Elephas maximus indicus: one gene and its partners. The protein of the gene in region 4 purifies or fractionates together with the protein of the main gene of each other region. This does not show direct contact. Links are inferred from orthologs where the notes say so. Each region holds a gene or a part of one and is shown on either strand. Other genes may lie near its edges.

Region 1 (7,850 bases), on a different chromosome or scaffold from region 4:
TTATCTTAGCAACACAACATTTTGCCAACATAAAATGTTTTCTTTTTTTAACAATTCTTCTTTTTCTAGTCCACCCTAGATGTAGTACATACGTTTTCATCATTATGAGAAACTGGTAAGTAAAAATTCAAGACATTTACTGCTTCCCAGGCCTGCAGAGTTATCTTCTATTTGGTGATTTTATTGTTTTGTTTTGTTTAATAATAAACTGGTCCTGTGTAACTATTTCCCCAGAGAATAACACTTACCTGTATTAATCGTCTGCATTTCTCAAGATTTTCCAGTTTAATAATCTGGTTTTTATCCAGAATCAAAGTATGGATATCAGCTTCACAGGGCAAGTTTAGACCTAATTTCTGTAGTCCTTGCCCTGACCAATTGACTACTGAACCTTGAAAAAGAGAAGGGACATTGTTGGAAAACACAAATAAAGCAAATACAACAGCTGAACACAAGGATGAAATTATACTTGCGAAAAACCTATACATTTAGAGTCAGAAAACACTGTTGTTGCTGCTCCGTGGGTCAAGTTGATTCTGATTCATATGAGTAGGATGTCAAGATTCTAAAAGTAAGCCCATCTTGAGTTCAAAATGACCAGACTGAAATTATTCACTTTTCCTTAGAAATAAAACAGTACAACTAGATTTGTGATTTTCTGTTCAAGTTTCTATAACACTTTGGAATTCTGCACATTTATATATGAACTATTACATCTATATGTTATAACTAAATAATAGCTTTTTAAAAAATGAAGTGAAGTTTTTATAAAGATCAACCTGCTTATAACCTAACTTCCAGCATATTACCCAGAACTCAAACTATTTTGAAAACTATAGTTCGGTTCTCTCAGGAAAAAGGCAGCCAAGACAAAGGCTATTAACCAAAAGAAGCCTTTTACTAAGCAAAAGCCTCACCAGCCTTCTTTTTACTCCATAAATGCCTTTGCGCATACTGAGCCAAAATTGCTTTCCTTTCACATTTGGAAGACTATATGGATTATGATCCAAACCAGAACCATTTTCACAGTGAAAGGTGATGCTAAAAATCATATTGTCATATACTGAAATACTGATTCTTAAATTGGTTTTATTTGTGGGCCTATTCCAAAACTATTTTCAAAAATAAAAGTATTTCTTAAAATATAAAAACAACACACCTTGTACATTAAAGCAAAAAAAACTTAACTATATTATTTACACATTAAAAATAAAATTAGCAGAATATATTATCTAAATATTCTACAATATAAATATTAGTTTTGTTGTTCAAGTACTTTAATCATTCAAGTACTTTTTTTTAATTCAAGTACTTTAATCAGTTTTCTTAGCCATATTTCTTTCTACAAATGTGTCCCTAGTGTTTTTTCAGAGGAATATACTTCTTCAATATGGCTTTGTTATTATTGTTATCATAAACTTGTCTGTAAACTTCAAAGTTGCATTTAATCTGAAATTTTTGACAACTTCAAAAAAAAAGTATAGTTAATTCATCTCTAAAATGAGGACAATACACCGATTTCACTAGGTTGTATTAAAAGAGAAGCCATGTGACAAACACTTAGTCCTGTTCCTGGCCCACAAACCATACAGCATTCAATAAAGTAATATAACAGAACGTTCAAATCCTGGCTCCATCGGGTTACTCCACTGTGATATCTTGGGCAAGTTACTTCTTTTGGGCTCACTTGTCTACTCGGTAAAATGGTGATGATAATACCTGCCTTATCATGTAGTTCTACACAAAATGAGATAATGTAACAAAAGCACTTGGAACATCCTCTGGCTCATAAAAATTGCTCTATAAATGTTAACTGCTATTACTGTCAGTAAATTGCCTGGGTGGGCAGAGAAGGTGGAGTTTAACAGAAGTAGATAGCAGTGGGGGGCGGGGCCAGAGAAACTTGTAATTTCAAATTTATACCCAGATTAGGACTGCGAGAAATAATTACGCTAAGATTGCTCCCTGGAAGGTTTCAACGTTTTTCCGCGTCTAAAATGGCGCTTAGCATTTGGGGGGTCATGGACTCCTCTGGGAATCTGATGCAAGCTATGTACTGTCCCAGAAAATGCCCACTCTTTGTTTGCACACCATTCCGAGGGGTTTGCCAGACCTCTTAGAACCATCGGGTCACCTCCCCCCCGCCCCGAACAATTTACAGGTCCCAAATAACGAGCCCCTGGTCTAAGCCCTGGAGATGGGTCCCGACTCCCTGCCCTGACCCCGATCCAAACGGCTGCTGAGGAGCCTCGGAGCGGTAACCAAAACAAAGGAGCTCAGCTCACGCCTTGCGCCCCAAAGAGGTACCTCCCGGCCACAGAGGCACCCACCCCCCGAGCTCTGTTGAGCGGCGACCAAATCCGTTCCCAGGACCCCGTATGCGTAAGGAGGGGTGGGAAACTGGGGGCTCTGGATCACCCCCTCCCCCCCATGTTATCACGGCCACCGTTCCCTTCTAAGGAGGGGTTCAACGTCAGTGTAGGAAAAGGTGTTCCGTGCAGTTTCCTGAACGTTCTAGAAACCGAAGGGAAAGAGGGACATGGCAGCGAAAAAGGAGATCCTGCCAATTTCATTCGCGGCCCCGAAACACAAAGCAAACGTCCAGGAAAAGACACCGCAGCCCCAAACCCACCAACCCCCCGCCCCGGCAGCACGGGAGCCGAGGTGCGCGCGCGCGCGAAGGCCCCTGGGGTCAGTAGTCCCTCGCTTGGCCCTCGCCGGGAGGCCGGAGGGCTGGACAGTGCCTGGTGACTACAACTCCCAGAAGGCAGCGCGCCTCCGCGACGCCCACAGCCGCGCATCAAAAGACCTGGTCCAGAACTGTACAGCTAAACCCGGGCTTCCCCTCTCCACCAGACAACTATTTAATTTGGCTCGGTAAAGTTTGGGACCCAGAGGTAGGGACCGCCTTACCTTCTCCCGAAGGCAAAGCCGCATCGACGCGCGCCACCGCCATACTTCCCGCTTGCTAATAATACCAGGCAACCGTCCTGCGGCCACTCCTGTGGAGCTTGTAGGCAGGAGGAGGGAGCCGGAAACTACAACTCCCAGGATGCACAGCACCCAGAAGACCTAATTGGCTGTTTAAACTTAACGGAGTGAACCCAGGGATTAGAAACTGACCTGTAATGAGCTCCGGAACACTGGTCCACTCCCTCATTTGACAGATGAGCAAACTGCATTATTGGATAATCATTTCATGCCCCTTTTCTAGGTGTTAGCGAAATTTGATACTTTTACCATCGGGATGATTATAAAGAAGCTACTTAATGTAGTCTGAACTTGAGAGCTCGCAGAAGTCTTGTGGGGACAGTCCCCACTATAGGAACGACTTCAGCTGTCTTATGATAGTCAAATAGATACATTTTATAAGAATTTAGCTAAGTAAAAGGATTTAAAGCATATCGAGATAGAAACTTTTTTACAGTATTTTTGAGCGGTTGTTTTCGAGTATTTAACAGAACTTCTGACCTGGAGGTACATTTAATAAGTATGAACCCAGAATTTTTCCAGGAAGTATTCGAAAGAAATTTGAAATGTATATAGTCTCCAAACTGAAGAATTACACTGCCTATGGGGGTCGCAATGAGTCAAAATCGACTCGGGGGCAACCGGTAGTTGGAGGGGGGTTGGCTCACACTTTTATTAGAATTGTTCCTTGCTAAATGGTTTTAAATGGTATGCTTGAACTAGGAACTCAATAAGGTTGTGGCGAAGGACAACTATAATCTTCAGGGAAGATTTGATGGAGGAAGTGAAATCGATCTAGGATTTAAACGTTGAGTAGATGGTTTTTGGGTAGAATCTGAAGTCAAGAAGTAGACAGTTGAAAAAACATGCACATAGGCTGCAGGTGGCCATGAAGCTGTGCTCATAGGAAGTGAGAAACTAACCTGACAGCACCATAGACTATATTAAGGGAGCTTCCACTTTCTACTACTAACTCACTCACTCCCTCTTTTAATCTTTATTCTGATCTCATCTTTTCCTGAAACTGTAATCTCCAAAGTCTCTGATAATTTCTCTTTGGGAAAATCCAGTAACTCATCCTTTTAGATTTCCAGGCACTTGATTCTATAAGCATTCCCTCCTTCCTTGGTTCTCCTCCTATCTGACTGCACCTGCCTTCACTGTTTTTGCTTTTACTGTTTCGTACTGTTTTAGTCTGAAGACAAATGTCCTAGTTCTGAAGAGGAAATTGAGTAGGATTTTTTTTTCCCCTGTAACCTAGAGACCCTTTACCTAGAGAGCACAGACTTACTATATATGAATACAGCAAGCCTCAGTGCTGCCTCCTTTTAACTCTTGTTCCCTGGAATGAGCAGTAAGGATTGAGGAGAGTCTCTAGCCCAAAGAGAGAGGGTTTACAATTCACTCCACTTTAGAGGCTAACGACTTGGGAGAGGAGTTCCTGCAAGTCTGGAGGGTACTTGAAGAGCACAGGATCCCACAAGTTTACAGCAATAACTGAAGCAGAGTTTTGATCGGTTCATCTGCTCTGGTGTTCTGAGCAAAGAGCCAAAGGACTCCTTTTCTGGGGCTAACCAATTATAATCATTAATCTTGAAGAGAGTGAACAGGTGTTCCCAGGGGCAGATTACCCAGTAAGCAAGGTAAGCATGGGCTTATTTGTGCTTACAAATAATTTTTTTTTTTAAATTGGTCACTACAAATTACCAAATAAGCACAAATAAGCCCATGCTTACCTTGCTTACTGGGTGAACTGTCCTTGTGAGGGACTGTAAATTTGAAAAGAGGCCTTGATTCTCTAAGAAGGTGCTGTGAGTTTGAGAGAAGGACAGATTCCAGCCATAACTAGAAACAAAAACTGTTTACAGATGATATAGTAAGCAAGGTAAGAACAGAGCTTACCTTGCCTATTGGATAATCCACCCCGGGTGTTCCTGAGCAAGGCCCCATGTGCCCAAGTGACCCAGCCACCCTTTAAAGTGACAGCACAGAAACTCTTTTGTACTTCAGATACAGCTTTTACATCAAAAATCAAATTACTACACTTAAACTAAATTGCATTGTCTTCTATATATGTTAACACTTACAAGCCCCAACCAATTTAGGAGATTCTAATAACCAACACCACTATGAACCCCTTGGCAAGGTAGCATTTCTTTGACAGGCCCAGGCCCACAAGGAAGACTTTCCTTTTTGCCAGCACAGCATACCTGATCCCTGCTACAGCTGATCGCCTGACTCGTCTCCCCCATCTCTAATTCATCCTGCCCACTGTTACTGGCATGATCAAGGTAAAACAATACCTTTCATCATGTTACTCTTTTCCTCAAACATATCCCACTTGAAATTCAACTTCCAAAAACCACCATAATCTGGCCTCACCCTATTTCCCACTGCTAGTTTTCATTAGGTGTTTTTGAGTGAGGGATTGACATAATGAAACTTGTGTTTTAGAAGGGTTAAACTGATCGTGTAGCAGGATGGACAAGAAGGTACAGACAATCGTGGCAGGAAGGAGACTGTTGTAATGGTGAGTGGTAACCTTCAACAAAGCAGCTTCAGTGGAGTGTTGGGACATAAGTTAGGTAAGATGAATATAAGAGAGGAGGAAGGCAGGGTACTGAAACCACAGGTTTGGACAGTGCAGTTTACCTTGTCGAAATAAAGGTGGTTTTCTAATCAGGATGAGAACTTGCATGTGAAAGAAGTATAATAATAACTTCGGAGTTTTTAAGTTTTAAAACTAGGATATTATTAATATGAAGAATTTTATCATTGTAAAGCTTTTGAAAATGTGCCAGTTTTTCTTACAGTAAAAAAAAATCCTTATTTATGCAAAAGTTTAGGTGGATAAAATTGAACATTTTCTTCTCTGGTTAGTATTTATTGGTAGCCTTTTATGGTTTGGCTTCCTTATCTATGATCTCCTGAACGGAAGGAGTTATTGCCACTATGAAATGTCTATCTATGGGTTATCTACCCGTCGCCGTCAAGTTGATTCCAACTCATAGTGACCTATAGGACGGAGTAGAACTGCCCCATAGGGTTTCCAAGGCTGTAATCTTTACAGAAGCGAACTGCCACATCTTTCTTCCGTGGAGCAGCTGGTGGGCTCCAACCGTAGACCTTTTGGTTAGCAGCCAGGCATTTTAACCACTGTGCCACCAGAGCTCCGCAGGTTATCTAGAAGCCCCAAATGAGTATTCAATTTCCTAATATTATTATCATAATTATGATTTATCTTTTTTTATGTGCTAGGCTTTGTAATACCTATGTTGCATATATTACCTCTAATTTTCACAAAATCACTGCAAGAAGATCCCAAGAAGTTAGGGTTGCCAGCTGTTTAATATGAGTATCCTTAAAGCCACTCACCTATGGTATTTCTGTTACAGCACTAGGAAACTAAGACACAGTGTTTTGCAGATCTCAATGCAAGGGAAGAAAAGTTTCCATATTTCAAAATCCATTTAACTGTGCAATTGAGGAGCTTTTACCTAACATTCAATTGGAAGTGATTAATCCGATATGCTAACAAAGCAATCAAGAGAATAGTCGAATTCTGTAATTGCCTTCCAAGAGATTAATGTGTTCGATTAAAAGTATATCCCTTGAATTGACATCAGAATTGGGCGGTACTGTGTGAAGATGAAGGGTATAGGACCTCCTCACAGCTCAGGATCAACAGATGAACATTTGCAACCCATTTTGATGATAAAAAATAATAATAATAATAGGGAATAATAATTTTGAACCCCAATTAAGCAAAATGTTACTCACCACTCCAAAAAAAGAATTTTCTTCTCGTTGGCATACCAGGATTACAAAAATATATTTATGTTATATTGCAAATATGTTTACATATAATACATCATAATATCGATGTCTAATTTCATCAATGACAATTTTGTGGAAATTATTTTCTCTTATTAAATAAGTACCTATGTGATATTCTTGATTTCGCCACTTAGCCTGCAAAGCCTAAAGTATTTCCTATCTGGCCCTTTACAGAAAACATTTTCTGAGCCCTGTTCCGTTGTTAGCTGCTGTCAGTCTGCTCAGACTCACGGCGACCTTGTGTATAACAGAAGGAAACGTTGCCTGGTCCTGCACCATCCTCACGATCATTGGTGTGTTTAAATCCATTGTTGCAGCTATCATGTCAGTCCATGTCATTGAGGGCTTCCCTTGTTTTCAGTGGTTCTCTACTTTACCATGATGTCCTTGTTTAGTGCTTGGTCCTTCCTGATGACGTATCCAGAGTAAGTGAGTCAAAGTCTCACCATTCTTGCTTGTAAGGAGCATTCTGGTTGTATTTCTTCCAAGACTGATTTGTTCGTTTTTTTGGCAGTCTGAGGTATATTCAGTACTCCTCACCGATACCGCAGTTCAAACCCATCAATTCTTCTGTCTTCTTTTTTCATTATCCAATTTTCAATGCGTAGGAGGCTTTTGAAAAGACCATGGCTTTAGTTATCAAAGTGACAACTTTACTTTTTAAAACTTTAAAGAGGTGCTTTGCAGCAGCTTTACCCAAATCAGTATGTTACTGTGTTTGATTTCTTGACTGTTGCTTCTGTGGACGTTTACTGTTGATCTAAGTAGAATGAGATCTTTAACAGCTTTGGTTTCTTCTATAGGAAGTAAAATCTGAGTAGGAGTTAGCCAGTGGGAGGAAGGAAAGCTTTCTAGCCAAGAGGACAGCTTGGGCACATGAGCAAGAACCAATAGGGTATGTCAAAAAACTTAAAATAACAGTTATGTGCTTTGTTCCCTTCACCTTTGTGAGCCAATCAGTAATACCAGTTTCTTCCAGAAGATGGCTCCCTTTATTTTACTATGAAAAATTTCTGTCAGAAAAGTTGGCCAACTTGGTGAAC
Region 2 (7,798 bases), on a different chromosome or scaffold from region 4:
TTCTCCTGTTAACAAAATAAACATGCTCCTTCCAAGTGTGATTACAATGAAATGCTTTTGTAAAAGTAACGTTTTACAAATTACATGAGCTACATATAACTGTTGATCCTATATTAAAAATCACCCATTTTCTGGGTCATAAACTTTAAAAGGCATGCCATCCAGCTGAGATATGAGATTCACATAGTGCAAATGCTATTATATTATGATTTGATTTTCTTCATAAGGCAGAAATCCACTGAAGAATTTCAGAACAACTTCAATGAAACTTAAATGAACATTTCACCAGGAATGCTACAAGTTTTGCATATTTCAGCGTGGGAGTAAAGGTCTAGTCATTCCAACTGACTAAACTGGTACAAGGGCACAAGTGGGACCAAAAAAACATACTAAATTTGAAAGAATGGCTACAGCCTAATGGAGTTACAAAGGTGATCATTTTCTCACCATCACCTACACCCCAGAATAAGTAAAGGTGGAGATTTAACCCTCCTCTTTCAATTTTGCTGTGCTAACTTATTTTAAATGAAAAATCCTTCTCACTAAGAGCACCGTTCTTCAATCCAAAGAAAGGAAAGGGTCCAAACAACTTACAAAGCTCAAATATAACAACTAGGACCCACAGCTCCCTAATTTAGTGCCACTCAAGTCTTTAGCCCAAAGAGAAACTTTACACTGGCTACCCATAATCAAGAATTTTATCTGAGACTGCAAAAACAATGGGGAGGATTTTAGGTCACATTCTTATCTGGAACCCTACTGCAAGCCATAAGGGGCCCTGCAATGGTTAAATGGCGCAATGGTTAAAATGTTTGGCTGCTAACGGAAAGGTCAGTGGTTCGAACCACCAGCCACTCCCTCAGAGAAAGATGTGGCAGTTGGCTTCCATAAAGATTACACCCTTGGAAACCCTATGGAACAGTTCCACTCTGTCCTATAGGGTTGGTATGAGTTGGAATGGGTTTGGTTTTGAGTTTATTGCAAGTCATATAGCAATGGTCAGTTCCGACGACAAAGCCTTGTAAAAAGAATGAGAAACACATAAAATCATTGTCGATGCAAGAATAAAATCTGCAATGGAAACTGAAAAACAAGCAAATACGTAATGGAGTTTAGAAGTATTACCAAAAAGGACCCTATTGGCTAGGTTTCTAATAAGGACTCGGGTGGGCAAACAAGCAGGGCAAAGAGCAGAACAAGTGCATCAGTTGACAAGGAAAAGCTGACGGTGGTGGATCCCTAGAGCGACAATACTAAACTGCCAACACGCAGGCCTAAGGAGGGTGTTCTGGAGTATTTCTGCTGCTTCTGTCAGTATTTATGTGCACATGATGGTTTCCCTGAAATCCCAAACTGTCTCAACCTCAACATGTCCACGAGGAGAGGCCTCAAGAAAGCACCTTTACTATTCAATGCTCTGTTGTCTATTTCAGGGGTATCCGCTTCCTGTACTTCCTGGTGACCTGCCACCTGCTCCACGTACTTTCCAACCTAGGAGCCCTCGAGGTTGACTCAAACTCACGGATTTAAAAATGGCTCAACTTAGTGTCACAAAGATTGTACTTGAAAGCTGTAGAAAAGTGACAACAAAGACTCAGCAGGACCTGTGTCCCCTTGGTTTGGGCAAAAAACGGCACATTTGGATCGTTTTTCGGTACGTAGCAGTGTTTACACCACACACGCCCCAGAGCAGGCGATCCCTTACCTGCATAGAAGCGGATGAGGCAGCCGATCTCCGAGTCCATGCCTTCCTCCTGCACCCTCCACAACTCCCCGAATCCCAGCTGGAAGAGGTAGTCATTTTGGATCTGCAGTGGCTTCTCGTCCGCCTCCAGCCGCCGGGTGGTCTCTCCGTGAAGCTGCACGTACAGGGTGGGCGGTGGGGTCGCCTTCTCCGCGGCCTCCTTTTCCTCCCGAGGCCGGTCGCCGCCCCTCGCGGCCCCGGGCTGCGGCGGCGGCGGGGAGGCCGTCGGGGACCGCGGCAGGGCGCGGCGCTCCGGCCCAGGCTGCGGGGAGCGGCGGTGGGGCGGGCCCGGGTCGGCCTCGAGCTCCTCGGACGACGACGAGGAGCCGCCGCCGCCGCCGCCGCCGGAGGGGTCCAGGCGATCAGCCACGCTCTCAGCGCTGGGGCTCAGGCTGAAGCTCTCCGCGTCGGAGGCCGCGCGCGCGACCGCGCCGTCCACGGCGCCCCCCGAGGGCAGCGGCAGGCGGGCGGGGGGCGTGCACGGCGGCTCGGTCCCCCTGCCCAGCACCTTCAGCACGCCGCCGCCGCCCTTGTGGCCCGGCTGGAGCAGGCGGGCGGCCACCTCGGCGGCCGTGGTGTCCAGCGTGCAGAGCACCGGGCGCAGGCCGGCGGCGGCCAGGTGGCGGTCGGAGACATGCACGCAACCCCGCCGCAGCTGCTGCCTCACCCAGTCGCGGTCCGACGGCTGCAGCTGGAGCGCCTGCCGGTGCCTGAGGAGCAGCGTCTTCCTGTCCAGGCTGCGGGTGCACAGCGACGCCGCGGCCGAGCAGGAGGCAGCCAGGCCGGCGGCGCCCGGCGAGCGCGAGACTGCCGCGGCCGACGACGACGAGGCGGCGGCGGCGGCCGCGGACAGATTCCTCTTGAGCCGCCCTCTCCTCAGCAGCAGGGAGTTGGCGCCGCTGGCCCCGGGCGCAAGGGGAGCCCCGCCGGCGGGGGCCTGGGGCGCCGCGCGCCGCCGCCTGCGCCCGGTGCAGCTCGCCCTGCCCGGCTGCGCATCTGTGGGAGCCTCCGCCCGCGCCCCTCTGCCGTGCCCCCCGCTCGAGGTCAGCGCGGGCTCCGGGCTCCGGCCGCCCCCGGCCGCCGCCACCAGAGCCGCCGCCGCCGCCGCTGCGGCCGCTGAAGCCGGAGCTCGGTCCTCCCGGCCGGGCTCGGGGAGGCGCTGCGCCGCGGCCGCGGTCTCCATTGCGATGGCGCTCGGCGTTTCCCCCCCAGCTCCGGAGGCGGCGGGCCGAGGGGGAGGCGGCGAGGCGAAGGCGGGAGCCGGCAGCGGCGCGGGGAGCAGCGCGAAGCCAATGGCGTTCGGCGCGGCCGTTCCGTGGGATTATGTGGCGACTCGGAGCATTCCGCCGGTGTCTCGGCGTTCCATCCCGCTCGCCCGCCAGCCGCCGCCGCCACACGCCCTCCCCGCCCCGGCCGCCGGCTCGGGGTGCAGGCCCCGCCTCCGCTCCGCCTCGCCCGGGCTAGCCAGCCGCGAAGCCTGGCTCATTGAATATGAATCACGCGCCGCGAGAGGGCCAGGGGCTCCCCCACTGGCCTTATGAATATGCATCGCCGACATTACGGCCTCCGGGGGAGAGCCAGGGTTGGCAGGGGCGGGGCTTCAAGGTAAACAAATGTGACGCGTGCGTAAGGATGAGGAGTCCGGTAGTTTCCCGGGGCTTCCAGACCCGGCCTGGTCGGCCACCGCCTCTGAGAGGGAGAGGGAGACAAGAGTGGCGCGCGATGTTATTTGGGAGTTGTAGTTCTAACCTGAGTACGGGCCTACCTAAGGGTGACAAGATGAACTACAAGCCCCAGCAATCCTTAGGTCCCGCCGCCCCTGGCCGCCCGACACTGGACAGTGGGTATTGTGCCCTCTGCTGTTGAGCTCTGTGGGGGAACGTTGATCGTGGCCGTTGTTTAACCTGTATGCCTTTTCAGCACAACTCCGGTCGCCAGGTGATTGTTATTTTCCCTGCGAATTGAAAGTGAGGGCTTTGAGGGACTCTCAGCTGTCGGAGGAAACCCTGGTGGTGTAGTGGTTAAGAACTACGGTTGCTAACCATAAGGGCGGTAGTTCAAATCTACCAGGAGCTCCTGGGAAACTCTATGGGGCGTTGACGTGGAGTGGATTCCGACTCGCAGCAGCCCTACAGGACAGAGTAGAACTGCCCCATAGAGTTTCCAAGGAGCACCTGGTAGATTCGAGCATAACTTGTAGCACCACAAAATAACTAACTGCCCATCAAAGTGGACCAGCCTCGCTTTGTCCCTCTTTTTCAAGGCCAGGGAAGAGAGTGTTTGAAAAGCCTAACTTGGACAATTGTTGAATGTACTTAGTGAAAATCGCGCAAACCCGACTCCATCTTACTCCACTCCTATATCTGACAAGAAAAAAAGGCTAGTTTCGTTTTCTCCCACTGATCTTGAAGTTTGAAGTTAGCTCAGTGACACAGAAAGCAATGGAAAGAGGAAGATACTAGATAGGCTGTTTCCATATTTTCTCTTACATCTTCTCTGTTCTGTTTTATTTTTTCCTTTAGACACTGAGGAAAAAAAATTTTTGTACTACTACAATATTTAGTTGTGGTCTGAAAAGTTGTGTTGTCTTAGTTTAAACAACTGTAAATTGGACTAAGACAGTTTACTACTTAAAGGAATTTAGTAAATCTTTTAAATTGAATTACCGTTTCCCTAGGTTGTTTTATAAATCTGGATTTTCACACGTGAGACTTTTAAATAGTTTTCAACTGTGTATTATCCCACGTATTAACTTCAATAAAGTTACTAAACTTGAGAGGAAGAAAGAAAGAATCAACTGGAACTTGAAGTTGAAATCACATAAATTGATGGGGGCAAAGAAAGTTGTATTTAGGTTATCCACAGAGTTTCACTGAAGTGGAATAAAGAAAGCTACCAGGACAAAAAATAAATATTTCCCTGAATGACTCTTGACATTCCTATATTTTTCTTTTAAAATCTTATGCCTTGGCCTCACAAAACTAATTTTTATTCCATTTAAATCCAATCAACAGCACAGTGTTCCATGTAAAAATTAAGGAGAATGCAAATTCCCGTGAGGGAGAACATATTCAAGTGAATTACTTTAACAAATAATTATAAGCATATATATGAGTTACAGCAGTTGAATAAGTCATACTGTCCCTACCGTCATAAAGCTTATAAATTAGAAATAAAGACATTCCACCAGTGAGACGGGTGTGGGGAAGGGGCAAATACAAGGTATTGTGAAAATAGGCGTAACACAAGGAAACTAACCTAATCAAGGAAGTCAGAGGATAGAGAGCTAACTTTGGGTGAAATTTGCTAGAGTGAATGAAACTGAGTAATTGCTGAAGGGTCGGTCTCCTAAAGAAGGAAAAGAGGCAGAGAAAGAGGTAATGATATGAAGATCAATTTCAGCTACACTTACCTAGACTTTGCCTTGAGTAATCCCTAGCACAAAGTATTCTAGAAATGGACAGAACAGTATTTTAACTTAGCTAGCCTTTAAAAAGATTAAAAACCAAAGCATGTATTAATTTTCAGTACTAAAGCACTGAATCTTTGTATTCATTAGTCCTTGAGTTGATTTCCTACAAACCTCTTAAGTTTTACTATATTAAGAAGTAAATATTAACTCCCATATATCACCTTTCTAGAGTTATACTTCTATAGCTAATGTAACAAGCTCAGAGAAAGTTTCTTCTAGTCATAAATTCAGTTGCCAATGGCTCAATGTCCATTAGCATCCTCTCTAAGAAATTACAGTACTGTACTTATTCTAGCTCTGGTTCCTGTCATTTAGTTTTACACAGTCAACACAACTATCTTCTTATCCTCTAAGAATTTTATTTATTGTTTGAAGGTATTTGTAGCCAAAACACCTTCTCCAAAGGGGGAGGTTGGAGCATTGCTCAGAGAACTTAGCATCAAAAGTATTGGAGAGGGGAGGGCTTGGAGGAGTCAGCATATACTCTAGAAGTAAAGATTTGATATGAGAAATTATTAAATTGGGGGGGGATAAAAAGGAAATATTGTTCAAGTATCTCAGCATGAAGAAAAAGGAAATACATTACCCCACTCAAAAAAAAAAAATGGTTATGGTGGGGCAAAGAAGATTGTAGAATGCAATTTTGCTAGGTTTCATGCATGGAGTTCATAATCTGAAAGATCCCAGATTCCGTTGTACCCAGGATAAGAAAAAGCAGAGTTGAGGGGAATGAAGAAGGGCAAGGGTCCACAATGTGATCCCTCCCTGTTTCATCCCCAAACCTTCAATGAAGTTACTATACTGGAAGATAAGGGTAAACAGGAAGGGCAAATCTGCTGCAAAAGCAAAGATGTCACATTGAGGACTAAGGTGTGCCTGACCCAAGCCATGGTATCTTCAGTCACCTCATATCTTGTGAAAGCTAAACAATGAATAAGGAAGACTGAAGAAGAATTGATACATTTGGATTATGGTATTAGCAAAGAATATTGAATATACCATGGACTGCCAGAAGATCCAACAAACCTGTCTTGGAAGAAATACAGCCAGAATGCTCCTTAGATGCAGGAATGGCGAGACTTCGTCTTGTGTACTTTGGACATGTTATCAAGAGGAACCAGTCCCTGGAGAAGGACATCATGCTTGGTAAAGCAGAGGGTCAACGAAAAAGAGTAAGACCCTCAGTGAGATGGATTGACGCAGTGGCTGCAACAGTGGGCTCAAACATAGCAATGATTGTGAGGATGGTGCAGGACTCAGCAGTGTTTCATTTTGTCATTCATAGGGTACAGCATAAGTCAGAACCGACTCTATGGCATTCGACAAAAGCAAAGAGAAGACAACTTTTAACACCAGATTAACTGAAACCTTGTAGCTGAAATAGCAGAAATTGATAAGGGCAATGAAGCTGTTCTTAGAGCTTGCTGATATCGTGGCACATCATCCAGACCATCTGTGCAAGCCTACACTACACGACTTCTCTGAATAAGAAAGAATCAGCAAGGACAAACGTCTTCCAGACACCCATGGAATAGCAGCTTCTCCTCCTTAAAACAGAGTGGGGACTATGCCAGTATTCTGAAACCATGTAAGTCATGATTATCCCCTTTAAAGTGTTTCAAATGTACACTGTAATACCACGTTTCTGACTAGCCACCCTTTTCAAAGAATCACGTCTTAAGATGCTATAAAGATCATCTTGAAAAGAAACAGCAGATATAAAAGTTGCAAACCCCAATGCCAACTTGTTAAAATATTTTCACTGCTAAGTTTAGAAAAAAAACATCATTTTCAATTTACTGCCAGTTTACTTTATCCTGTGTGATTTATAATTGGCTTGCTGTATTCCGCGTCTAAGTTAATCCTGTTTGTATCCTTAGATCTAAGATAAAAGTAAACCATCTTTGGAATTTTTTTTTTCCTGAGATAAGCGGTTTGAGTTTTAATGGGAACATGAATTGATGGCTGGATGGTTTTACTCTAAATTGTTAAGGGCTCAGCTGTGTCCAGAAATAAACTTAGAAAGATGCAATATACGATGTAAAACATTTAGTTAGTACGTTATGAACAAGGGATCTAATTATAGTTTCACATTTTTATGTCCCTTGAGCTACTAGTGGTTTACCATGCCTAAATTGCTCACTATTTACTCATTCCGTTTTACTGTGAGGGACCCATTTAGCAAATTACTGCTCTAGTGCCCGAGATGGGCCCCAGGTGGCCAAACTGAATTAATCTGTTCTCTGCTCACTGGCAGGATAAAGTGCAAATTTATAATCTGCACTTTATCAGAGTTTAGCTTGCCACTGTCATCTTCCACTGGTGTTGAGTCAATTCTGACTTGATAGCTTTTCAGATTTTAGGGCACCCTTTTTTGTTTTAATTCCACAATTCTTTGCCTTTTTCTTATTTCTCACATCCTGCCTTCCAGGAGTAAATAGATGTTCTGTAAGTCACAATAATGACATTTTAGACCAAGCAATAGAGGCCATGTAGTCCACCCACTTCCCATTACAATATAGGTTACCAGGGACAGTCATACAAGTATGTGCAGGCTTCATTCACCAGCAGTAAACAATACC
Region 3 (6,958 bases), on a different chromosome or scaffold from region 4:
GCTTTTTTTTTTTTATTAACTTATTGAGCTTCAAGTGAACATTTACAAATCAAGTCAGACTGTCACATATAAGTTTATATACATCTTACCCCGTACTCCCACTTGCTCTCCCCCTAATGAGTCAGCCCTTCCAGTCTCTCCTTTCGTGACAATTTTGCCAGCTTCCAACTCTCTCTATCCTCCCATCCCCCCTCCAGACAGGAGATGCCAACATAGTCTCAAGTGACCACTTGATATAATTAGCTCACTCTTCATCAGCATCTCTCACCTACCCACTGTCCAGTCCCTTTCATGTCTGATGAGTTGTCTTCGGGGATGGTCCCTGTCCTGTGCCAACAGAAGGTTTGGGGACCATGACTGCCGGGATTCCTCTAGTCTCAGTCAGACCATTAAGTATGGTCTTTTTATGAGAATTTGGGTGCAGTTGCTTTTTTAGGAAACACTTAGGTGTAGATTTTATAAAACACGTGCAAGTCTTGTATCCTGAAAACTGCAGAACACCGATGAAAGAAATAAAAGGGTCTAAATAAATTGAGAGACATACCATATTCATGGATTGGAAGACTCAACATAGTAAAGAGGCCAATTCCCCTCAATTGATATAAAGGTTTAACTCAATTCCTATCAAAATTCCATCAAGGCTTATTGTAGATATAGACGATTTTTTCCTAAAATTTATATACAAAAGCAAAGGAACTAGAATAAGTAAAACAATTTTGAAAAAGAAAAAATGTAAGGAATCAGTCTACCCAATTGCAAGACTCTGTGACATTGGCAAAGGGATATACACATAGATCAATGGAACAGAACACAGACCCCAGAAACAGGCTCACACAAATATGCCCAAATGATTTTTGACAAAGGTTAGAAAGTAATAGAAGAAAAGTAGCTTTTTCAACAAATAGTGCTAGAGCAGTAATTGGACAGTCCTAGGTATATATTTTTTTTAGGTATATACCCCAAACAACTGTACTCAGATACGTGTACACATATATTCATAGCAGCCATGTTAACAATAGCCAAAAGATAGAAACAACTCAAATGTCCATCAATGGATGAATAGATGAACTGATTATAAAATGGAGTATTATTCAGCCATAAAAAAGGAATGAAGTCTGATACATGTTATAATGTAGATGAACCTCAAAAACATTATGTTAAGGGAAAGAACCCAGACATAAAAGTTCACATAGGACTATATGTTCGGTTATAAAGGGACAGCATGAAAGATCTTTGTAGTGATGGAAGTGTTCTGTATCTCGACTGTTACTGATGTGCATGTTCTGGTTGTGACATATTACAGTTTTGCAAGATGTTATCATTGGAGGAAATTGGGTAAAGGGTAAACAGGATCTTTGCATTAATTCTTACAACTGCATGAGAATTTAAAATTATCTCAAAATGAAAAGTTTAAACAAAAAACTTTTTTATGAAATATTTTATAAAAATAAAATGATGGAATCACAAATAATAAGAGACTATTAAAAATGACCAGGAAGCCACTGGGTGGTGCAAACAATTTAGTGCTTGACTACTAGAATAAGTAAAACAACTTTGAAAAAGAAGAATAGAATGTGAGGAATCAGGTTGGTGGTTCAGACCCACCCAGAGGGCCTCAGAAGCAGGGCTTTGAACCAGTTCAGTCATGGCTAATGAAATGAAACTGGAACAGATCCAAATTTTTACAATTTGGGTGATCTGGAATGATAACTGGAACTGGAAAAATTATGGGTCAAAGCCCTGAAATGGGAGACTCAGAGGAGGTGTAGTGAGCGCCTTCAGGAGCCTGATGTGTGAGACTGGAGTATTGGCAGGACTGTGGTAGTGATACACATTGAAAGCGGCAAGGCCGGCTGCCATCTTTGAGCAGGACACTGCTGTTTCCAACTCTGCTCAAAATCCAACTATCAAGAGATTTGGTTGCCGTGCAATGCAAACATGGCCTTTGTTTCCTAAGAGGGAGATTACCTTCTAGCAGGGTTTTGACTTGTAATTCCCGTTCAGTTTCACCAAAATTTTTACGAACTTTGAGTCTGTTACAGTTTTGCTTCCTCAGCCAAGATTGAACTAGGAAGAACCAGTTCAAAGACCTTCTTGGAAGACAGATCTGGCAATCTCCTTCCAAAAGGTCACAGCCTTGAAAACCCCATGGAGCACAGTTCTACTCTGCACACATGCGGTCGCCGTGAGTCGCAATTAACTCGATGGCAACTAACAACAACAGTACTAAACTCCAAAAGTGTCAGCAGAGCATAAAAATGACCAGGAAAACTAGAAATAAAGCAAAAATAAAAAAAAAATTATTAGAAAGTAAATATATCATTGATGAAACTAAGAATTTAAGTGGCTGGTGTTGGTTCTTATTGCTACTATAATAAATTACCACAAAGGTAGTTGCTTAAGACAACACAAATTTATCTTACAGTTCTAGAGGTCAGAAGTCTGAAAATGGGTCTCCCTGGGCTAAAATCAAAGTTTCAGTAGGACTGTGTTCCTTCTGGAGGCTTGCATTCCTCACAGAGGCTCTAGGGAAGAATCAGTATCCTTGCCTTTTCCAGTTTCTAAAGGCTGCCTGGATTCCTTGGCTCATGGCCCCCTTCCTCCATCTTCAAAGTCATCACTGTGGTGGAGTCCTTCTCAGGCTGCCATTTCTCTTGTTCCTTCTTCTGCCTACCTCTTCCATTTATACGGACCTTTGTGATTTTTTTTTGTGTGTGATTATATTGGCTCACCCTGTTAGTCTAGGTTAATGTCCCCAATCTCAAGGTAAGCTGATCAGCAACCTGAATTCTCCATTGCCATGTAACCTTATTCATACATTCTGGGCTTAGGGCATCTTTGGGGTTGGGGAGCATTATTCAGCCTATGGGTTAAACAGTAGGTTCAAATATCTACAAAATAATTAATGAACTAAAAGATAGAATTTAAGATATTACTCCAAATTGAGCCAGAGAAACAAGGAAATGGAAAATCTGTAAGAGGTTAAATAAAAGGTATGGAAGATAAAATTCAGAATCCTAGAAGAAAAATGTTTTTTATTTTTTCTATCAGAGGCTCATATAAGGGTAAACTGGGCGATATAGTATCTTTTGATTCTTTATTTTGGGGTTCGCAAGTTTGCACATTGCATACTATCAATTTCACTTTCAGTTATGAACAGTCTTTCCTTTTCTCAGAAGGCAGCCTTGGATGGGAAATCCAGTCTTCATGAGTATGAGTAATAATATGACTGAATGTACGTCTTTAGTGTGAATAAGTGAGTGAGCTTTTTGTACCATCTTTAGGCCTTATGTAGACTTCCACCATTTAGAACTTGAAAGGAAAAAAAAAAACTATTTTATTGGGGAAATTTATTAATACGCTTAAAAAAATATTTACAAGTCATTACAGTTTAATGTATAGAATATACAATATATCCTGCCGAGAACAGATTTAAGAGAGGAAGAAAAGTTTAGATTTTAAAAACTATAAATCGAAGCACATGTTTTGTTATAAAAAGATGATTTTTCTTAGCTAGTTTTCATCGGGGAGCCTGTGGTACGTCTGAATGTACCTGTGAGGAGCCGAGTTTCACGGTCCTGCCTAGGCGTTGGCTCTGGTTGCAAGTACTGGGCTGACATCTTTTGGGGGATGAGCCTGAGCTCGCGGCGGCCGCGGCCGAACTGGCTTGACGAGTTCCCACTGGGATTCCAAGTGTGTCACCTCTGGGCGAACTCCTGGGCCTGCCCGCACGTCCTGCGCGGTGCCGCTAGTCGTTCCAAATCCGGCACAAAGCACCTCTTAAGACTGCCGGAGGCAACTTTCTGCGCTCCGCCTCTCCCGCTCCCGGCGCAGGCCGGGCTTTCACCTCGGCGCAGCTGGCAGAGGCTCGGGGGTGTGGTCAGAGGGACTCGGGGGCAGCTCCCAGTCCCGCCAGTTCCCTTTCCGGGCCAGCAAGGCGGCCGCACTGGCCCTCCCCCTTGCGAAGCTGCTGGCGCGGCGCGTTCTGAGGCTTCGGCTCTCCCAGGCCTCTGCGCCCCAGGCTTGGCGCGCTCCCCGGCGTCCCTCGCTCTCCCAGCAACTGCGGGCTCTGCAAACCTGGCGGCCAAGTAAGCTCCAGCAAGTTAAGTCTCAGGGACTGTGGGGTGGAGGTAGGAGATGGGGGATTCGCGCTGGGCAAAAGTTTTCAGAGTTACTGGGCATGGAGAGCGAGGGCGCGCCCAGGGGGCGGGATCCTGCGAGCGGGCGGAATGCGACGCTGCTCTGGGAGAGGTCGGGTGGAACAAGGCAGAGACACCCGGAGTTTGAGGAATGCAGCGACAGTTCAGAAGGATAAACGTCGTCGTCAGTGGAGTCGTTCATTCTACTGTGGTCTAAGGCGGGGATTCTCAGCTGTGGCTATACCTTACAATCACCAGGAGCGCTTGTAAAATCTGGATGTCCAGCCGCAGCCCAGACCAGCTCCATCTGAATCTCTGGGAGTGGGACTCAGGCCTCTGCATTATTTAAAGCAACCCGACTGATCCCAATGTGCAGCCAGTCTGGGAGCCAGTAATCAAAGTGTGACCCCCGAGAGAAGGTGGAAAGGCAGGGCAGGGGCCTTGATTCGAGTCCAGCCTGAAGGCGCGTCGGCCGTTCCCAGCCTCTAGCTCGGCCCGGCCCTCGGGACTTGGGAGCAGACACACCCCCTGGGTTCCCAGGGAGCAAAGAAGGGGGATAGAACAATGTTTGACAGGGTCGCCTGAACATCATGTTCAAAACAAGCCCCAGATATGCACACAAACTTAAGGCACATTGTGAAAAACATAAGGAATGATGGATAGGTTAGGTTGCCACATTGTTTCTGCATGCTGGGAAACGCCTTGATTGTTGGCATTTGAAATTAAGTTGGTGGAAACCAGTAAACCCATGGCCTTGACAAGAGCTAGGCTTTCTATTTAAGGATGAAGGTAGAGGGTGTGCGTGCTGCAGGGTCAGGTTTACCCCTCCTTTTTAAAGTCCTGTGTTGAAGATATTCCACGTCCAGAGAACTCTACCATAAATTTTGGAGAGGTGTGGACATCACAGGGTGGACCCTCCCTGTGCCTAGATGCTGGGGGCAGATAGCTGTAATCCAGGCAAGCAGGGCCACCCGACAGACTATTACTACATATGCCAAGCAGCTAACACCCCCAAAAAACAAACCCATTGCTGTCAAGTCGATTCCCTCTCAGAGAGATCCTATAGGTCAGAGTAGAACTGCTCCATAGAGTTTCCAAGGAGCACCTGTTGGATTTGAACTGCCGACCTTTTGGTTAGCGGCCATAGCTCTTAACCACTATGCCACCAGGGTTTCCAAGCTGCTAGGAAAGGTGGATTTAAAACAACAGAAAAGTGCTAAGAGAGGACCTTGAAGGGTTTTGTTTTTGTGGAATGTAGGAATAAGATCAAGCTTTGCAGCCCTTCAAACTTGGGCCCATATTCGGATTCCATCACTTGTGAGTTCTATACGTGACCTCGAGTTAGTTACTTGACCTCTCCCAGCCTCCTCTTACGTGTAAAATGGGGATATAAGTAGTTAAGAGGCTAAGATAGGTAAATGAGATCATGTCTATCAAACTCCTCGCTGGCACGTGATGGCTGCTTTGTAAGCAGTAGCTTTCAGCCACAGGAGTGGTGATGTGTGTCTGACAATGTTTATTTAGTGCAGCCACTGTGAGGAGGAGTGTTTGCCCAGAAAATGCCTCCCTTGAAGCTCCATTCTCCTCGTCTCCTGTCTTGCAGCCTCCGCTCAGAGGAGGGCACCATAGTTTCTTCCTCTTCCAGCCTCTGGGTGCTTTGAGGTCTGGAATCTCAGTCCACTAAACTCACCGACTCATAGTGACCCTATAGGACAGAGTAGAACTGTCCCATAGGGTTTCCAAGGCTCTAATCTTTATGGGAGCAGACTGCCACAGCTTTCTCCCATGGAGCAGCTGGTGGGTTTGAACCACTGAACTTTTGGTTAGCAGTCAAGCACTTTAACCACTGCGCCACCAGGGGTAGCTTTTCCTTTTCTCCCATAACCCCTGGAGGGCTTGTTAATGGCTCTGGATACAGTTTCATCCCATGTGACAGGAATGGATTTCTTGATGAAAAAAATTGGCCCTTGTTCTTGAAACTCTCCACCCCACTGCGATGCATGTCAAAAAAATGGGCTCCCATGAAATCTAGGCTGTCTACAGGGTTTCCGAATTGATGTGGGCCCAGGTGGCACTCCTGCCGGCAGCTCCTCAGACCATGTCCTTTCTGTTTCTGTTTCCACTCATGTCTCTTGGCCTGAGGAGCAGTGAGAACTTCTGCAGTGACCAAGAACAGTCAGGAATCTGGGGAAGGAGGAACTCATCCTTCAATTGCTCATGCCCGTGCTCGGCTCAGCCGTTTACCCTGGTACCTGCCATGTGTGTCGTTGGCACTCATTAAGAGCTGCTTGGTCATTTTGATAGTAGCAGCAGCACTGATTAGATTAGACACTGGAAATGTAAACAGTGTAGTAATAAAGGTATAAAAAAAGTCAAGTGTTTTTACAATGTATGTGCAATAATCACTAATACTTAATATCAAAATCTTTTTAAAATCATTTTCATCAAAAGAAAAAAAGTTCCAAACTCTCTGTACTTGCTGTGTAGTTTTTCTGTGAAGCTAAAACTGCTCTACAAAAAAAGTCTGTGAAAACAAAAACAAGCAAACAGAAAGTTTGAATATTTGTTCAAAATCTAAGCCAACCTAGGATTTCAGGTCTAAGTTACCAGTTTCTTCTATGCTTCTTCCATTTTGGGGATTTTAGGCAGGATGGGGGGGTAGAAGCTGAAGTTTGTACTTGTGCTGAATTGCGTCATGCAGAAGCTGTAGGGATTTTCAAGTTTGCTAAAGTAGTGTTTTCCTTTATCTTCTGGAGAAAGTTGTGCTAAGGGCCTCCTTTCATTCTACCTCAAAAGCCTGAGCTTGTTTCTAGGAATAC
Region 4 (7,316 bases):
ATATGGCACGTGTGGCTAAATGCCTCTATAAACAACTGCCTCCTTGAACTGGATGGTGCCCAGCTACCATTAACTGAATGTTCTGAGCAAAGATTGCACAGACAAATCCTCATCAAAAGGGGGAAAAGGCAGAACAGGATTTCAAATTTTCATGGACTCTGGACTTTCTGGAGCCATAAAGTTTCCACGAACCCCTGCAACTACCACCCTGAGATAATCTTTAAACCTCAAACCAAAAATATCCCCTGAAGTTTTCTTCAAACCAAAGAAGAGTTTAACTATTAAAAAATGTCTGCCTTGAGCATTATGCTCTTCTAGGAACTAGGTATATGCAATCAAGCTGACAACAGCAACTTGAAAGAGCCCCCTAAGAGGGGCTGTGAGTTTATGTCAATAAGGGAGGAACAACTCAGAAAATGGGGGTGAGAATGGTTGCACAACTTGAAGAATGTAATCAACGTCACTGAACCACATATGTAGAAATGGTTGAATCGGTGTATGTTTTGTTGAGTATATTCTCAACAACAAATTTTAAAAGAAGTAAAACAAGATGAAAACAAACAAACAAAAAAAAGAACCCATTGCTATCGCGACGATTCTGACTCATGGTGACCCCATGTGTTACAGAGTGTAACTGCTTCAAGCAAGATGGAAAATGATAGTGAAATTCATTAAAAGCAATTTCTAAGTAACCTGATTTCCATAGGAAGCCATGCACCTAAGAGGACCATAACAAATACAGATTCCAAAAACTAATAGCTGTCCAACTAATACAAGAACTGTGGTGATAAACTCTCAGTACCACCTGTAACATTATTCCAATACGGATTCCTGAAGCCTCCCTGTGAAACATTATAACACAACAGACTAATCAATCACCTAGTTTCAAGGTCGTTATGTAGAAATTCAAGCAATCCTTGACCTAAAAAGCCCTAAGATACCTATCCCCTGGTTTCCTCTGCAACCTCATCTCTTCTTTCGTTCCACTCTTGTCAATGGGCCTTTTTGCTGTTCCTTGTACAGGCCAAAGGAGACCTGGTGGTGCACTGGTCAAAGCACTTGGCTGCTAACCAAAAGGTTGGTGGTTCGAACCCACCAGCCACTCCATGAGAAAAAGAGGTGGCAGTCTGTTCTATTCTGTCCTACATGATTGCTATAAGCCAGAATGCACTCAACAACAGTGGGTTTGGTTTGGTACAGGCCGACTTTATTCCTACCTCAGGATCTTTGCATTGACTGTTCTTCCTGCCTCGAATGCTCTTTCACCAGAGCTTTCAAGTTCACTACCTCATTCCTTCAAGTCTCTGCTCAAATGTCACCTCCTCAGAGAGGACCTAGTGACCACCTACATGGTAAATTCTTTTCAGAAGTCATAGCTAGGAAAGAGGCTCTCTTGCCTCAAATTGCTAACATTGCTTAAGTTAGACTACAGCAATGTAATAAAGTTTCCTTTTATTTGTGGATGACAAGAAACTCCCAGCTAAATTTTGTCATACATTGCATCGGGTAGCCTTAGCTTGTGTTCTCTTTTATCATTATTTAATTCTTGCTTCTTTACAGCTGCACATCGTCTTCCATTGCACAGAGACAGCTTTGTAAGCAAGTCTATGCTTAGCACACAGCAGCGCCCCCCACCCCCCACCGCCAAAAAAAAAAATGAGATGTATAGAAAAAAGAATGACAAGGTGTTATGGATTGAATTGTGTCCCCCAAAATATGTGCTGGGGTCCTAACCCCTATCCCTGTGGATGTAACCCTCTTTGTAAACACCGTTTTATGTTAACAAGACCGTATCAGTGTAAAGTTTGTCCTAAACCTAACGACTTCTAACTTACAACTGGGGCTACAGAAGCTGAAGAGTCCTAATAGTGCAGTGGATAAGCCTCAGCTGCTAGCCGAAAGGTCAGCAGTTGGAACCCTCCAGTCACTCTGAGGGAGAGATGTGGCAGTCTACCTCTGTAAAGATCACAGCCTTGGAAACCCTATGGGACAGTTCTACTCTGTCATACTGGGTCGCTATGACTCGGAATCCACGGGATAGCAATGTGTACAGAAGCTGAAACAAGGATCTCCCCCAGAACTAAGAGAGAGGTTTCCCCTGTAGCCAGTGTCCTGAATTTGGGCTTCTAGCCTTCTGAACTGTAAAAAAAAAAAAATAATAAACGTCTGTTCTTTAAATCCACCTACGCGTGATATTTCCGTTACAGCAGCACCAAAAAACTAAGACACAGGACATCTCGAAAATTCTAGGGACAAAGACAAAATTTTTGTGAGTTCATAAAGGCCCTTAACGATGCCTGGTACGTAATAATACAAAAAAAAGAGTGTCAAATCAAAAACCGTAACAAGTTATTTCACCAAGCCCACATCTCACTCTTCCAACCACACATGACAAAAATTTTTTTAGACCACCAGGATAAAACAGGAGAGAAAATATACTTTCTAGGAAGCTGCGGAGATGCAGGCAATCTAGGAATGGGACGGCCGAGGAGAGGGCCTGGGACACCGGAGCCACTGTGGGGACAGAGAAAGGAGAGACTGAGGCTCTCAATATTGGAGCTGAGACACAGTAAAAACAGCAACCCCCGCCCAAGGAAGACAGTGCTAGGAAGGGGCGGAGTCGGCCAGAAACCAACGCGCCCGGTTCTCCAAAGCAAAGTCGAAAAGGCAGAGAACGGCTCTCACCTCTAACGCCGCCTGTGGGTCCTTGTCGATCAGAGCATCTGAGAGGCTCCGGAAAAACCTGCCAGGAAAACAACGACTTCAGCAGGACAGACAACCAAGAAAAGGACGCTCAAAAAAAAGTAAAAAAAAATACACATACCTCTGAGGTGTTGCAGGTCCTGCAGCAGCCGCCGCCATCCCTAGGAGTTACTATTACTCTGAAAACCAAGGATACCAGCTCCACCGCCGCCCTGCGAGGAAACTTCTGGAGAAACACCAAACGAGCTTCCGTCCTTAGTAGCCAACGAGCAGCCACGCAGCGTGCGGCTAGCGGGGAGGGAGGCAAAAAGCGGGCTCGGGGCGGCTGGGATCTTGGAGGACCGATTCCTCCCGGCCCGCCCCCCGGGTCTCGTGACCTAAGCACGCCCAGTTCCCTCCCCTCCCCGCCCCTCGTAGCCATGGTTACGGAGAAGCCTCGGGTATGCACGTTCGCACTTTGTTACACCACGAAGACTGCCCGCACTTTCTAATAGAACCTTCAGGGGTGGTGACTAAAAAGTAGCCTTGTAACGTACTGCTTGCTATCCCTCAAAAAACTGTAGCTGTAGCGTTTGGAGGCGTTTCTAAGTCTATGACTAATACAAGCTACATTGATCTCCTTTATCATGGCTACCGCACGCAGTCGAGCCGCTCGTAACCCATGACGTTATCTCGTTTCCGCCTATTCTTTTCCGGAGCTGAGTTTCCGGATGGCGCGTCCATTCTAGGAACGTTGCTCCGGAAACTGTAACCGGGTGGAACTCGCCGGAAGTTGCTCTGCACTAACAGAAGCTAGAAAAGGAGGAGGTTTTTGGTTCCTGCCTTAAGTTGTCCCGGTGCGGGTATACAGTTCCACTCTCAAAACGCCAGCAGCCCAGGCATTCTTCTGCTCGGTTCCTCAAACTGAGAAATTTTCCCATCCTAAGTCTCTGAGGAGGGGAACGTAGCCTGAGGCAGTGTGCTGGTTTGCTTTCCAGCCTAGTAGGTCCGGCAGGCCTTCTCCACTGCTCTTTAATTCCTGCAAAACTGATGAGAAGCTTCCAGCAAGTTCCACGGGACAGGAGAGGGAAGTGGAATGGCTTAGTAAGAGTTAAACAAGTAACTGAACTTGCTGAGTGTCTACAACATACAAAATCTAAACTAAGCTCTGGGATTCAAAGATGGTAATGCTTTCAAGAGGCTTAAACCAATTCTGTTCTCAGTGCGAATATGAAAGGAGCATAGTCGTATCATAGCCTGGAGGGGCACTTAGCCGAATATGAGGTATACGAATAGCTTCCTCAAAGATGTGATGCCTGAGCTCAGCCTTGAAGGATGACTGAGAGTCGATGAACGAAGTGGGAAGGGCGGTTAAGACAGAAGAAATAGGACTTGTGTTTGAAAACGATAATATGAGCTCTGAAATTGGTAGGGTCAAAAATTATGGAAAAACCAGACAGTGTAACTGGAGAGGTAGGTAAGTGCCAAGTCATAAAGGGCCAGGTCTGATATGTTTAACCTGAACGTGACTTTTTTTAGTGTTAACCCGTTATAGGATTTTTAATCAAGAAGTAATAACAGATTTGCCTTTTTAAAGTACATTAGTCTGTATACTGGAAGAATGACTAAAGGGAAAAAGAACACTTGTTGGGAGACAGCTGTAATACAGGCCAAAGAAGAGACTGAAATACTTCAGTGATTGTAGGAATGGTCAGGAGGGTGTGAATTCCAGAAATGTGTGGGGTAATTGAAACTAATTGGGCTTGCCTAATAAATTGGGAGGGAAGCAAGTTTTTGGTTTGGGTAATTGGTGAAAGATGATAACGATTAGCTGAATTAGAAAACTGAAAAGGAGAAACACTTGTGAGGAAAAGTCAATGAGTTTTATTTGGGATATATTGAGTTTAAGGTACTTCTAAGGTTCCCAGCGGACACTTGGACATACTACCAAAACACAGTATTAAGAGAATGAAAAGGCAGCTAAGAGGGCTTTGCCTACTCCAAAATCATGAAGCTATTCTGTTTTCTTGAATAAAGTTTCTAGAACTTTATTTTAACTTTTACATTCAGGTTTATGATCTATCTCAAATATGGTCTATCTCAGTTGACCCAGCCCTGTTTATTGGAAAGACTGTCATTTCCCCACGAAATTCCTATGGCACCTTTGTTGGAGATGCCCATATATATGTGGGTTTATTTTCAGGTTCTCCATTTCATTGATCTAGTTGTCTAACCTTGCACCAATACTCCACTGTCTTAAGTTAATGTAGCTTAAAAAATTTTTTTGTGTGTGGGGATTTTAATCGAGCTTGCATTGAATCTATAGATCTGTTTGGGGAAGGCTGACATCAACACTGAATTCTCCAATCCATGAATACCGTATACTCCCTCACTTATTTAAGTGGTCTTTAATTTCTCTCAGCAATGTTTTATAGATTGCAATGTGACTATCTCATTAATTAATACGTTTCATTAGATTTATTCTTGGGGTTTTTAGTGCTATTTTAAAGAACATTTTAAAATTACTTTCTACTTATTCGTTGCTGGTATTTAGCAACCCTGTTGATTTTTGCATGTTGTGTTGTTGTTAGGTGCCCTCAAGTTGATTTAAACTCATAGCAACCCCTTGTAACAGAGTAGAAGTGCCCCATGGGGTTTTCTAGGCTGTAGTCTTTACTGAAGCAGATTGTCAGGTCTGTCTCCGAAGGAACTGCTGGGTGAGTTCAAACCACCAACCTTTTGGTTAGCAGCTGAGCGCTGACCCTTGCACCACCAGGACTCCTTAATTTTTTTTTTAACTAGCCATATATTTAGTCATCTTGCTGATTTTCCTTATTTCTGATACTTTGTAGATTCTTTTTGAAATTTCTATGATCATAATCTTGTCATCTGTGAATAAAGATAGTTTAACTTCGTCCTGTGCAGTCTTTATACCTTTTATTTCTGTTTCATGCCTTCTGTCACTGGGTAGGATGTCCACTACAGTGTTGAATAGAATTGGTGATAATGGACCCCATGTCTGTATCAGAGTAGAATTGTGCTCCATAGGGTTTTCAATGGCTAAATTTTTGGTAGCTTGCCAGGCCTTTCTTGCGAGGCACCTCTGGTTGTAACATCAGGGAGAAAGCATGCAATATCCAATGCTTTTTCTATCTTTATTGGAATGTTAATATTTTTTATTAATGTGTTAATGTGAATTACATTGTTTTCAGATGTTACCTAAATGGCCAATATGGGTATGAAATGAAGTTCCACATCAATAGCTGTATCAGGGAAATTAAAATCACAGGATACTAAACATTACCACCAGAATAGCTAAAATTAAAAGACTTCCAATACCAAGTGTTGACAAGGATATAGACAAACAATAACTTTTATATATTGTTGGTGAGCATGTGAATTGGTATAACCATGTTAGAAAACCATTCTGCACTATCCACTAAAGCTAGTCATACATATACCCTATTAAGATACACACAGTAATTCTTCTGTGGGGTATGTTTTCAGATAAAAGAGTACTATGTTCACCAAAAAGCATGCCAAAGAATGATCATTGCAGCATTTTTCACAGTAGCAGAAGCTGGAAGTAAATATTCATAAGAGAATGAATAAATTGGGCTATAATCACAAAATAGAATGCTACATAGCAATTAATAAGAATGAACTACCACTAACAATATGGATGAATTGCATATAATGTTGAGTGAAAGAAACTATAGACAGTATATCATGACCAATTTCTTTATATGAAGATAAAAATCTATATTGAGAGACGTCAGTGGGGGATCTCAAGACTGGCAGGGGGCATGAGGAGACTTTTTGGGATGCTAGAAATATGTATCCTAATGCAGGTGATAATTACACCATTGTATTCATATGTAAAAACTTACCAAGCTATACCCTTAAGATCTGTATACTTTACAAAAATTAAACTTCAATGATAGGGAAAAAATATTTAAAATAAAATCAGCAAACAAGAATTTGACATTTTAAAAACTATGCTATTTACAATAGTATGAAAAAATATTAAATACTTAAATGTAAATCTGACAAAAGATGTGTAGACCTGTACATTTTAAACTATAAAACATTGCTGAAATTAAAGAATACTTAATTGAGAGCTGCACTCTGCTCATGGTCAGAGGATGCAATATTAAGATGTCAGTTCTTTCCAAATTGCCTATAAATTCACCACAATCCCAATCAAAATCGAGACTTTTTCTTTTAGAAATTGACAAACTAATTCTAAAATTCAAACAAATATGTCAAAGACTTACCCATTGCTGTCAGCTCCAATTCGTGGAGACCCCATGTATGTATCTACATAGAGTTTTCAGTGGCTGATTTTTCCGTAGACCACTAGGCCTTTCTTCCAAGGTACCTCTGGGTGGGCTTGAACTTCCAACCTTTTAGTTAGCAGCTGAGTGTTTAACCGTTTGCAACACCAAGGGACTCATTTGCGGAATTAACACTACTTGTTTTCAAGACTTATCAACCTTGTATTGGCACAAACACAAATCAATAGAAAATAGAGAGTCCAGAAATATATCCATTTGTATATGTACAACTGATTTTTGAGAAAGATGTAAAGAGAATTTAGTGGAGAAAGGATAGTTTTTCAACAAATAGTTCTA

The links.
Region 1: the proteins of SUGT1 (region 4) and CEP97 purify together in Homo sapiens (affinity purification with mass spectrometry; 3 studies listed by BioGRID and IntAct, with this or other methods). This does not show direct contact. The link is inferred for Elephas maximus indicus from reciprocal best matches to the Homo sapiens genes SUGT1 and CEP97.
Region 2: the proteins of SUGT1 (region 4) and PHLPP1 purify together in Homo sapiens (affinity purification with mass spectrometry; 5 studies listed by BioGRID and IntAct, with this or other methods). This does not show direct contact. The link is inferred for Elephas maximus indicus from reciprocal best matches to the Homo sapiens genes SUGT1 and PHLPP1.
Region 3: the proteins of SUGT1 (region 4) and NOD1 purify together in Homo sapiens (affinity purification with western blotting; 3 studies listed by BioGRID and IntAct, with this or other methods). This does not show direct contact. The link is inferred for Elephas maximus indicus from reciprocal best matches to the Homo sapiens genes SUGT1 and NOD1.

What each region holds. Positions count from the first base shown.
Region 1 is NC_064836.1:72,577,845-72,585,694, reverse strand, and holds the start of CEP97 (centrosomal protein of 97 kDa), read right to left. Parts: upstream 3,019-7,850; 5' UTR 2,957-3,018; coding exon 2,914-2,956; intron 392-2,913; coding exon 249-391; intron 1-248. UniProt on the Homo sapiens protein: Acts as a key negative regulator of ciliogenesis in collaboration with CCP110 by capping the mother centriole thereby preventing cilia formation. Required for recruitment of CCP110 to the centrosome.
Region 2 is NC_064829.1:71,052,387-71,060,184, reverse strand, and holds the start of PHLPP1 (PH domain leucine-rich repeat-containing protein phosphatase 1), read right to left. Parts: upstream 3,008-7,798; 5' UTR 2,928-3,007; coding exon 1,706-2,927; intron 1-1,705. UniProt on the Homo sapiens protein: Protein phosphatase involved in regulation of Akt and PKC signaling.
Region 3 is NC_064826.1:91,809,791-91,816,748, reverse strand, and holds the start of NOD1 (nucleotide-binding oligomerization domain-containing protein 1), read left to right. Parts: upstream 1-3,944; 5' UTR 3,945-4,088; intron 4,089-6,958. UniProt on the Homo sapiens protein: Pattern recognition receptor (PRR) that detects bacterial peptidoglycan fragments and other danger signals and thus participates in both innate and adaptive immune responses.
Region 4 is NC_064832.1:40,446,080-40,453,395, reverse strand, and holds the start of SUGT1 (protein SGT1 homolog), read right to left. Parts: upstream 3,016-7,316; 5' UTR 2,863-3,015; coding exon 2,825-2,862; intron 2,744-2,824; coding exon 2,686-2,743; intron 1-2,685. UniProt on the Homo sapiens protein: May play a role in ubiquitination and subsequent proteasomal degradation of target proteins.